Linked DNA regions of Coturnix japonica. The protein of the gene in region 3 interacts with the protein of the main gene of each other region in a pairwise test. Links are inferred from orthologs where the notes say so. Each region holds a gene or a part of one and is shown on either strand. Other genes may lie near its edges. The genes, in order: SH2D4A, SH3BP2 and DBNL.

What was found.
Region 1: the proteins of DBNL (region 3) and SH2D4A interact in binary tests that used the Homo sapiens proteins (3 or more experiments, as listed by UniProt). The two-hybrid records come from large-scale screens. The link is inferred for Coturnix japonica from reciprocal best matches to the Homo sapiens genes DBNL and SH2D4A.
Region 2: the proteins of DBNL (region 3) and SH3BP2 interact in binary tests that used the Homo sapiens proteins (3 or more experiments, as listed by UniProt). The link is inferred for Coturnix japonica from reciprocal best matches to the Homo sapiens genes DBNL and SH3BP2.

The regions. Positions count from the first base shown.
Region 1 is NC_029519.1:30,070,018-30,072,916, reverse strand, and holds part of SH2D4A (SH2 domain-containing protein 4A), read right to left. Parts: intron 2,728-2,899; coding exon 2,597-2,727; intron 2,137-2,596; coding exon 1,916-2,136; intron 497-1,915; coding exon 404-496; 3' UTR 1-403. UniProt on the Homo sapiens protein: Inhibits estrogen-induced cell proliferation by competing with PLCG for binding to ESR1, blocking the effect of estrogen on PLCG and repressing estrogen-induced proliferation. May play a role in T-cell development and function.
Region 2 is NC_029519.1:74,767,001-74,770,648, reverse strand, and holds part of SH3BP2 (SH3 domain-binding protein 2), read left to right. Parts: intron 1-1,906; coding exon 1,907-2,046; intron 2,047-2,571; coding exon 2,572-2,674; intron 2,675-3,648. UniProt on the Homo sapiens protein: Binds differentially to the SH3 domains of certain proteins of signal transduction pathways. Binds to phosphatidylinositols; linking the hemopoietic tyrosine kinase fes to the cytoplasmic membrane in a phosphorylation dependent mechanism.
Region 3 is NC_029537.1:46,458-50,721, reverse strand, and holds the start of DBNL (drebrin-like protein), read right to left. Parts: upstream 2,863-4,264; 5' UTR 2,768-2,862; coding exon of another isoform or gene 2,726-2,767; intron 2,368-2,725; 5' UTR 2,351-2,367; coding exon 2,255-2,350; intron 2,072-2,254; coding exon 1,997-2,071; intron 1,917-1,996; coding exon 1,770-1,916; intron 1,539-1,769; coding exon 1,461-1,538; intron 1,331-1,460; coding exon 1,179-1,330; intron 1,093-1,178; coding exon 1,050-1,092; intron 947-1,049; coding exon 869-946; intron 738-868; coding exon 635-737; intron 541-634; coding exon 448-540; intron 77-447; coding exon 1-76. UniProt on the Homo sapiens protein: Adapter protein that binds F-actin and DNM1, and thereby plays a role in receptor-mediated endocytosis.

The DNA.
Region 1 (2,899 bases), on a different chromosome or scaffold from region 3:
CTCCAAGTTGCTTGCTGCCTTCAAGAAGCTATGATCTTATTCAATTTTATGTAGCAATCTGTTTCCCAAACAGCAGGCAACCTTGCATTCAAGAGCAAAACCCAGCTTGAACACAGGTATCCCTGAGGAAATCTGCAAAATCTCTGTTCAACTGATTCTTCAATGTCTAATCCAGAACAACATGCATGGTGTATCTGGGTGTTTTGTAGCTTGCGGGGCTGGTGCATCCTTTCTCTCTGTTGAGACAACAAGCCTGTGACAGCACTTATTCTCCCACTGCTTTGTTGTGAAGGATTTGAAATAGAGGCACTTATGGCAAGTTTCAGGTAAGCATCAGTAGCTTCCAGTTTGAAATCCAATCTTGGTGAAAACGGCATGGTGCTACGTAATGAGACTGGGAGGCTCACTCGAAAAGGGAGATGTAATCTGGTTCATGGTCCTCTTGACCACATGGATAAAGCAACAGCTCCTTTCCCATAGAGGTGATGGGTTCATCCTGTTGACAGAAAATGCAATTAAACACTTTTCAAACAGGTCAGTTTACCTGGAATATCACAATATATTGCCACTCCATGACTGTGTGGACCTATTAGTCTCACTGTGTGATATGTCTCAGAGCCCTGGGAATTCAGGATGCAGATCTGCATGGCTGGCTTCTGCCTTCAAGAAAGTGTGCTTGTTATAGTAATCCAGTGACATGATTCTGGTAGGTCTTGGAAATAGCTGTGCTTGTCTTGTAAGCAGCTTCTACAGTGTGAAATGCTGTCCTGCCTAGGAATTTCTGGAGTAAGGATTGTGTGGCATGCAAGTTAGTGGGACTGCAAGCTTGCTGCATTTGCACTAGCACAGGTGGGGTGCCCACAAGTGGGAGTTGTGTTTGTGAGAGGGATGGGACTGGACCCTGCAGTGAACATGTGCCTTCTGCTTTGGCAAGCCTGTTTCTAATGAGAATTCCCTGGAAACTGTTTCTGTTTCCCATCCTGTTCTCAATCTCAGCAGCAGATACATGGTGGGAATTTGCCTTTTTTTTGTGGTCATCCAGTGGGTGACGAATAGAACCCACTGGAGCATGTTATCTGGGTAGGTTTGCCCTGCTCCCACATACATCTGCTGTAGTGCAATAGAGTCCGTAGGATTCTTTGCAGACTGTGGGTGTGACTCTATCTTTAATACAGATATCTACAGCCAGGCTTTAAATCTTCCAGCTCTGGTGCCAGTAAGTTGTCTAGCTCCTGCTTCCAACAGGTTCAACCTGGACTGTGAAACCTACATAAGAAGCAGGTTGAAGAAGCCCAGATAGATTTTCACATAGCAAATGAGTGTAGATATTTTTTCACCTACCAGTTTTGGTTAATCGTGTCTAAATTATGCTAGGCTCTTACTTGGAGCCTATGCAACTGCAGTCGGTGCTAGCAAACACTTGGCGTTACTGTTGTAAGGACTTGACAGCCTTCTTCCTTCCCTTCCATTATTTGCTACCCTTGCTCCATATCATACCTTGTCTGTTTTGAAATTATAAATATACCTTGTTCTCTTTCTTTCTGAAGCTGGAGGTGAACTATTTTCAATTTATTGAACTTGCTGGGACCCCACAACCACTGAGAAAATCATAAAAAGTCTGAATGCTTTCATCTATTGCCTTATCAGCAGTTCTGCTAAATAATGTGATTGAGCCCCATACAAGGTGTTCTGCCTGCTTGAGGGGGAGCAGTTAAGGTCTAAGACATCTGAGATGTATGTGGGTGTCCCCACTGGTCTCACATACCCTTCTGGAATGGCACATATAATACCCAGTAGTAGCTAAAATGGGACTAGTTAACTACATTATAACAACTGAATCTGATGCTTCTTATTTTGAAGTGCTTTGAGGCAAATACATAAACGGTAGTTAATGAGTTAATTGCTGGAACTTCACCTTGTGGTAGTCAACAAGGTCAGCCAGTGTTGAATGTTGTAGCTGGTCCACTCCAAGGAAGCTGTAGGAATCGCTGGAGGCATCAATAAGGAAGTGTTTACATCCCTCTGCAGACTGATAGGAAAGCACGTAGCCTTTGATTTTCTCACTGACACGGACCAGAAAACTCCCCGGCACTGTTTTACTCAGAAGCTCCTCTGCTTTTCTAGAGGTTAGGATACCTGTTCAAAGCCACAACACAGAACTGAAGTGAGAAAAGCATTTGTGCAGGAGCAGATGGAGCAATTCTCCCAATAAACCCTTTTTTACCATTCTAAAAGTAATTCACAGTGCTTCTATTCCCTGCTTGTTTTCTGGCCCACTATTACAAGAAAGGTACTGCCATTGCTGGTAGCAGACCATGGTGTCATGCTAACTGTGCTTTGTGCTAACTGTTCTACATCCAGAATATTAGGCTTATCAGCTAGCTATGCGAAGTCAAGATCTGGCTTCCACTCCAAGACTTTAGCTTGAACTTTGTCACAATTAGAGAAATTCATACTCTTGTACATATTAAAAATAGAAAATGTTGCTAGCTACCTTCAAAAAGTTCCTGGGAGCAGTCTGTTGTAGCAGCCCTGTAGTTGTAGTAGAAACAACTCCTTAAAAGGTTGAGTTGGGGCGAAAGTGCTCAGGACTCACCATGAAACCAAGGTGCTATTGTGTCTGTGTTTTTTTGATAGCCAGCTCGAAGGGGGAATTGCTCTTCTTTGAACCACCTGATGATGCTTTCTTCAGCTGAACTGGAGATTGTCCTCTGGATTCCTTCTTTCCTGTTACAAAAGACAGTGATCTGTGGATCAAGTTCAAATGACAGCTTTTGGATCCTGGCAAGAATTGCTTTTTGTTCAGCGTGATAGGAACAATGCTAAATAGAAGGCTTACAGTAATGCAGCTATGAACAAAATTGTATGGTTTTCAGTGGACACCTATCAAAGAGGACGT
Region 2 (3,648 bases), on a different chromosome or scaffold from region 3:
GCAGGATGCAGAGCAGCAGTTAGTGTCCTTCTAGGATTGCTTTGTATGCTCAAAATAAAACAAAATAAAAACCAATCTGCTTGGGAATAGATTCAAAGTGTTGCTTTAAGAGAGCTATTTCAAATGTTTCAATCTGGAATACCAGATTATACACACATACCCTGTGTGTCAGGAACTGCAGCCCCAGCCTACATATGAGAATAGGAAGTGGGAAAAGTTACAGTGGAATCCAGAAAATACCCATAGTTAAACTGAAGGGAAAGCTCTGTGTTTTAGGTGGAATATGTACTTGCCTGCAGGGAGTTCAGCCACACCTCCTTGATTCGCTCAGGTGGATGGGGAAGTTTGAAGGTTTGGTTTCAGAACTGTTTTATTGTAAATCTGCAAAGATAAGGAATGATCCTTGAGAAGAGGAAGCAGAACCTGATACTTTGTTGTCCTTCCTTTTGGTTAAGTCCTGTACTGTCTGCGCTGTAGAACTGGATTCTTTACCCGCTTGTTTCTCTGTTCCCATGCAATGTTTTTGTTGTCTTCCAGCTATTGTGGCTTTCCAGCAGCTATCCATGTAGAGGGCTGCCATGACCTAGGCAAATACTTGTGCTTTCTGTATTTACCCAGGGAGGGATACCCTTGTCCCCAGTGTTTGCCGTTGCCTTCCTAGAATCTCAGCTTGTGGTTGTTTTGGATCACCTCCCTGAGGTACTTAACTCTGCCTCTTCTGAAATGTTTTCAATCTAAGTCAGTCTAACACTGAGATTATTGCTTAATTCCAGTGGGGAAGTGCTGAAGTCCTTTCTTTTGCTCTTTGCTATTTAAAAACAAACCCGTGATGATCTTCAAACCGTTGGCTGGCACTGAGACTAACGCTAGAGTCAGATGAAGGAATCTGAGACCAGGGTATATCTGGCTGAATAAGAAGTTGCAACTTTTGCTTCATCTCTTTTTCTGAATATAATTAGAAACAGACTGAAATCATTTAATCGTAAATTAGTTTCAAATGTTTGAATGTCGATGTACTAGCTCTTAAGTAAAGAAATTTGCCCAAGACTTGCCTTTGTGTTCCTCGTTTCAAGGAAATAATGACTCTTAGTACTGCAGTGTAGCTTGGCGTTAGTAGCCTGCTGGTTGATGCCCTGTTACCCTCTGACTCTTCTGAAAGATGTGGAGAAATTATTTGAAGATTTCATTTTCTGTTTTGGTTTTAGATTTAATACTTTTTACTATTTTAGTAATTCTCAAGTTCTTAAATATTATAGGTCCATTTCTTGGACCTGTGTAAGGTGGTGGCAGTAACAGTGGGAACTGCGTAGGTATTTGGTGGAACATGGCATTAATAACGGATGTATGAGTGAAGACATCCTGCAGCAATCTGAGATGGATTTGATTTGCATTGTCATGTATGATGTTCAGTATAAGATTACACCCTGATGCTAGTAGTTAGAATAAAACATACAAATGTGGGAAGCATGTTATTAATCACTGCATGCGGTTGATCTGACCGTTGGTTCCCTTGCTGTACAGAAAACTACACTCAGTGCCCATGTGTGGTATGAAGCTTTAGAGAAGAAACTGATTTTCTTTCTAGTCTTGGTGTTATCATCTGAGACAGGTTTAAGATATAAATAGCCAAATAACATTTATTAAGCACTCTTCAATTTCTTTGACCGCTGTCAGTCACATTTGAGAACTGTATAAAAATAAATCGGGACTTTCTGCGCTGTGTTTTTTATACCTCACAAACTTCCTGGAACCTATGAGCACGCGTCTGTCCTGCATACTTGGCTGCTGAACCATGTTAGTTGTTTGGAAAACTTGGTTAAGGAAACAAGCTTTGTTTCTCAGTCCTCATTTCCTGAAGTAAAATCTAACTTTGAAGCTGCTCTTAATTAATTATTCTAAATTGCAGGAAGATGGCCTCAGAGGAACAAGTCTGGCCAGTCCCAATGAAGGCAATTGGAGCACAAAACCTTTTGACGATGCCTGGAGGAGTGACCAAATCGGGCTATCTTCATAAAAAGGGAGGCACTCAGCTGCAGATCTTGAAGTGTAAGTTCAGTGGAGTTTAATTTGTATTCTAGTTATTTCCAATGCCTGTTTACAACTAAGCTGTGTTTATACAACTAAGGGCAAAGATTACTGTCTTTGATAAAGGCGAAAGGAGAGTTGGCACTTAGTTTGAAAGAAAGAAGCACTTTATTACCAGCTTTATGCATGTGTATTCTGTCACCTTTAAGAAGAAAGGAGGAGATATGTTCACCCCAAATTGTAATATGTTGATCTAAATAGCTATTTGTAGCCCATGTTTGTATTCCTCTTACCTTGTTTCAGGCTGCACTCTTATGTTAGCTTGTACCTCCAGAGAAAGGTGGAGGTCAGGCTTACAGTCTGGGGTTTCTTTTGAAGAGCTTCATGTGACTGGTCAGCAGCCAGCTGCCACTCCTCTTCTTTGTGCCCTTCTATAAGGATTAATGAAATCCACTTGGCATCCTAACTTGTGTACAGCTATTATTCTAGAATTGAGGAACGTGCTGCCTTTGGATTTGTATCATACTTGCTTTTTTTCTTTATCAGGGCCATTGAGATTTGTTATTATCCATGAGGGATGCATTTACTACTTCAAGACCAGCACATCTGCATCTCCACAGGGTGCGTTTTCTTTGAATGGTTACAACAGGTGAGTGCCAGAACTTAATGCTTTAAGCCCTTGTACTTAATGGTGGTAGGAGCTACCTTTCGTTTTGAGTAGTTAATTCAGCAATGTTTGTTGTTTTGGTCAAGCACTGGTCTCACATTCTGAGAGACAAATTCCTTTCAAATTGTGTGTGTGTTTCCAGTGCTGTGCAAGCGTATACCCTTCGTTGTTTGTAATTGCTCTGCATTGGGTTTGTGTTTGTTCCTTATTTAATGTGGACTTTGCACACACAGAGATGTATTGCTTTGGGCAAAGTAAAGTTCCTGATTCAGTAACACTCGTTGGTGTCAAAATTGAATCAATTACAGGAGTAATAAAATGAGAACATACATGTGCAAAATATCTGACTCTTTACACTAGGCATTATAAATTTTAACGTTTGCTTTTTAAGTTGAAGACAAAAATAAATGGCTTTCAAGTCCATCAGAATCTCTCTGAGTGCGCATGTACTGAGCCTACAGACTGCACTCAGTATTAACCTCAGGAAATTGGTGTTGAATATGATGCTAAGAAAAGACAAGGAAGATGTAGAATGTAGAGAAATGAGCTGTTGTTGGTCCTAACCGCTGCAGTTTATTGTGTTCGTAAATGTGCTTGTTGTTCCTGCACTGCATAATGCTCTCAGACCTTTAGGATAAGGAAATCTCTCTCATTGTGGTGGGAAGGTCTTTTAACTGGCCGCCACAGCAGGGTATCTGCTAGGAATGCTGCTATAACATGGCCATGATACCAGCTTCTGTAATCATGATATTATGAAAAATGCTATGGATTTTGTAATTCGTGGGAACTCTTATTGCTTTTTACTTAACTGCGTATCTGCAACCACCCTGGTTGTAGAACTGGGACCAGCTCATAGTTAATGTTATGCACAGACAGAAGCATTGCTGAATAAAAGCTTCAAGTGAAAGAAATTTTCACTTGTTAGCCTGGGCAGTTCCATAAGAGTACATGAAAGC
Region 3 (4,264 bases):
ATGGCTGCGCTGTCAGCTGCGTCCTCATACACGTTCTCCCCATCCGTGTGGGTCCCCATTGGGCTCACATTGTGCCCTGCGGGGGGAATGGCGGCAGCTCACTCATAGTGCTCCCCCCATAGCAGTGGGGTTACAGAGCCCTGAGTGGTGTTTCCTGTTTGGGGGGGTGCGGGGGAAGGGGGGAGCTCGTGCCCAGTGTGAATCATTGCCTAAAATACCGCAGATAGCAACGCTAATGGGAAGGGCTGCGCCGGAGCTTGGCCAACAGCAGCATCTAGCGGTGAGTGCGGCCCCACAGCACCGTGCTGCCAGGGGGGTGGGGGGTCATGGAGTCATGGCAGGACTGTGGGCAGCTCTGAGCCTCTGTGCCCCCACCCAGCACCACGTCCAGGTGGGTCGGGGGTCTCCAGGAGGAGCCCAGGTCCCAGGTGGGCGCACAGCACACACCTGCAGCCAGCACCGGTGATGGGTCCAGGACGGTGGGGGTGGGGGTGGGCACCGAGTCCGGCTCCCGCTGCAGGAATGGGCTGCGCAGTTTGCCTGCAAGAGAAGAGGGGGAGTTCAGGGGGGTCTGCAGATCCTCCCCTGCCTGGGACTGGGTGCCCACATTCTCCCCCCACCCTGAGACCCTCACCTGGCTGTGCAGCAGCCGCAGCATCACCAGGTGCCGCCTGCTCCCTCTGCACAAAGATGTCCCGCGGGTTCCCTGGGCGCTGTGCAATCAGTGACGCTGCCTCCTGCGTGTAGAGCAGAGCTCAGGGTGGGGGGAGAGTCCAGTGGGTGAACCCCCAGCTGTGGGGCTGTGGGGCTGTGGGGCTGTGGGGCTGTGGGGCTGTGGGGCTGTAGGGCTGTGGGGCTGTGCTCTCACCTGGGCTTTCTCCACTGATTCACTCCTTCGGACGCTGCGGCGCTGCCCGGCCTCGTGCTCCTCTGCCTGCTGCTCCTTCTGTGGCACCAGAGAGGAAAGCGATGGCCCCACCATGTGGACCCAGGGAATGAGCAAAGGGGGCATCTGCACCCAAACACCCCAGGGACAGCACGAGGCTCACCCACTGCTGATGCTCCTGCCTCTCTGCCTCCTGCTGCAGCCTCCTGCAGGGAGATGGAGGGTGACAAAGGGGACAGAAGATGACAGAGGGTGACGGGGTCACAAGGGGCTGGCGGTGCTGAGGACTCACTTCTGGGCCTCGATCTGGCTGGAGCGCGCCTGGAACCTCTGCTCCCTCCCTGCTGCCTCCTGCAGTTCCCTCTCGCGTCGTTCACGTTCCAGCCGCTGCCGCTCCTCCTCCATGCGCCGCTTCTCCTCCAGGCGCCGGTTCTCCTCATCCTTCTGTTGGGTGCACACACCACCTCAGCCCCACTGCGCTGCCATGCAGCCTGCACTGCTGCACTGCAGCCCTCACCCCATCTCAGCCCCACTGCGCTGCCATGCAGCTGCACTGCTGCACTGCAGCCCTCACCTCAGCCTTGGCCCAGAAGTGGTCCTTGTTGACCCGCTTGATTTCTGACATGGCGTTGGTTTTCTGGTAGACGGAGCCCTGTGTGGGGTGGGCAGGGGGGGTCAGAGCGCTGCACAAATGACCTTCCTGCATTCCCTGCAGAAACACGCTGACCCCGCTGCTTTGTGCTGCCGTTGTGAGGGATCGCAGCACGGTTGGGTGGGATGGGACCTCACTTCCCCAGCCCCATCCCACGGTACCAACACCAGCACCGACCCATCTCCCATACTCGGTGCTGTCACCCCAGCAGTGCCCCAAACCCAGACTCACCACGGGGCCCTGTGGCCCGGCATCCTGGAAGCGGCTGCTCTCCTTATGGAAGCTGTAGTTGGCCCCCGAGGCTTTGGCCACCTTCTGCATGATGAGCTCGGGCTCCACATCCTCCTCCGCTCGAGCATTGATGGTGACGTGGGCACCCTGCACGGGGACATCAGGCTCGGGGTAGCACCGAGGTGGCTTCCACAGGGAAAGAATGGGGACAGCAGAGCCGAGCAAACCTTCAGGAAGCTGGCAACGGTGCTGACATGGTTGGCACACGCTCCTTTCCGCACATCATTGACACCCTCACCCGTCTGCATGGAGAATCAATGGCAAACCAACAGAACAGCAATGGAAAACCAACAGAGTACCAATGGAACAGCAATGGAAGAGGCAATGGAACAGCAATGGAAGAGCAGTGGCACCACGAGCCCCTCCCCAGCAGCTCTTTCCCAACCCTTTGCTTTGGGATGTCCCACATCCCCATCCCAGCTCACCCAGTTGACGAGGACGTATTTGGGCAGGCCAGAGTTGGGGTCCTTCACCCTGCAGAAGGCGTACATCACCTTGCCGCTGTTCAGCTCCTCCACCATCTCCTCCAGGCCGCCCTCTGTGCCGGGACAGGAGCGGGGCTGGGCCAGGGGACACCGACCACATCCTGGCTGCCCCCAGGGAGCCCACAACTCCCGGCATCCCCAGCAGCACGTGCACGGGAACCACTCAGGAATGAGGAAACCCACAGAACACACTCCCACCCCCAAACCCTTCCTCATAAACGCCCCCAAAGCAAAAGGCAGCAGCACCACAACGGCCAGCCCCAAACCCAGACCCCCTCACAGCAGGAATGGGCCTTCAGCCTCCATTGGCAACCGAAAGGGGTTATGGGGCAGAGCGGGAGGGGTGGGCGGAACGTGCCGGCATCACTTCCCCATTTGTAATAAGGCGCCCAGAGCTGGGGCACAACTCACCCCCGGTGCCGGCCACGCGCAGGTCGTTGCTGTTGCCTTCATAGGTGAACAGAGCCCTGTGGGTTCGGGGGGGGCAGAGTCACGTCCCCAGCCCCAAAGCGCTGCACCCACCGATACCGAGCCCCAGCTCCCGGGCATCCATTGAGCCTCATGCACTAAACCCCCCCCACCCCACAGCCCCACAGCCCACCAGCGCGGCACCCGCATACCCGCCAACCCCCGTCCCGCAGCCCAAGCCCCCAGGCACTACCACAACCCAGCAGCCCCATGCCCCGCCCGCTGCCCCCCCGACTCAACAGCTCGGGCATCCTCACCCCGGCACCGACGGCAGCCACGGCGACCTACCAGCGGGCTCCCCCCTGCCGGCGACCCACGTGGGACCGTTGCGCCTCCACCCGAACTTAGAGAAACCCACCACGCATCTTTCTGATGCCCCGCCCCACGCTCTAGCCCGAACCAACACAGGCACCCACCCACACCACGTACCACCTCCATCCCCCAAAAGCCCACATCACCATCACCCCCCCATCACCCCCCTACACCCCACCCACCCACATCCTCCTTCCACTTTCCCTCCCGTCGACCCCCCAGGCCCCCCGCCTCCCCCTGCCCCCCCCGCTCTTCCCCCCGCCCATCAGGTGCGGTGTTGCTGCGGTCCGCCACCACTTCTACCGGTAGGCCTTACCTGCAGCGCCCGCCCGTTTCGCTTGCTGAGGTCTCAGCCGCCATGGCAGCGCGCAGCGGTCCGCCACGCCCCGCCCCCGCCCCATACAAGGCCCGCCCCCGAGCCCCGCCCATCCGGGGACGCCCCCGCCGTTGGCCACGCCCCCGATAGACCACGCCCCCCACGGAAGCCCCGCCCCCATGGCCGCGGGCGCGCGCTGCTCATTCGCCCCCCTGAGGGGGGGGGACACGGGCATGGCGCGATTGTCACCCCCCCCCCCAACCCACCCCCCACCCGTGTCCCCTCCTGCGTCCCACGGACACCGCGGGGCGTTGGGACACGGGCTCCCCCAGCCGCCGTGGGACCCCCGTGTACAGTGTGTCCATGGGGCACCCTGCTGCCCCCCCCCATGATGACATGGGGCAACTCCGAACACCTTGAGCCACCCACGGGACCCCCAGACACCCCGGGACCCCCAGACACCAGGAGCTTCAGACCCCACGCCCCCCCCCACAGGCACCACGGGGCTCCCAGGCAGCCCTGGATACACCATGGGGACACTGGGACCCTCGGGCAACCCAGCCCCCCCCCCCCAGATGACATGGGACCCCCTGGGCACCCCCGGCCACTCTGGGACCCCTGGGAGCCCCCCAGCCTCCATTTGGCCCCGGGACCCCCGGACAGCCTGGCACGGCCCCAGGACCTGTGGATGCCATGGGACCCCTGAGCACCCCGAGTCCTCCAGCCACCCCAGGAGCCCCAACCACTATTGGGACCCCTGGGGACAGTGGGACCGTGGGACACCATGGGACCCCCCCCATCCTCCATGTGAGGGGCTGCCTTCAAACACCCCAAATTGGCATTTTGGGGGTGCG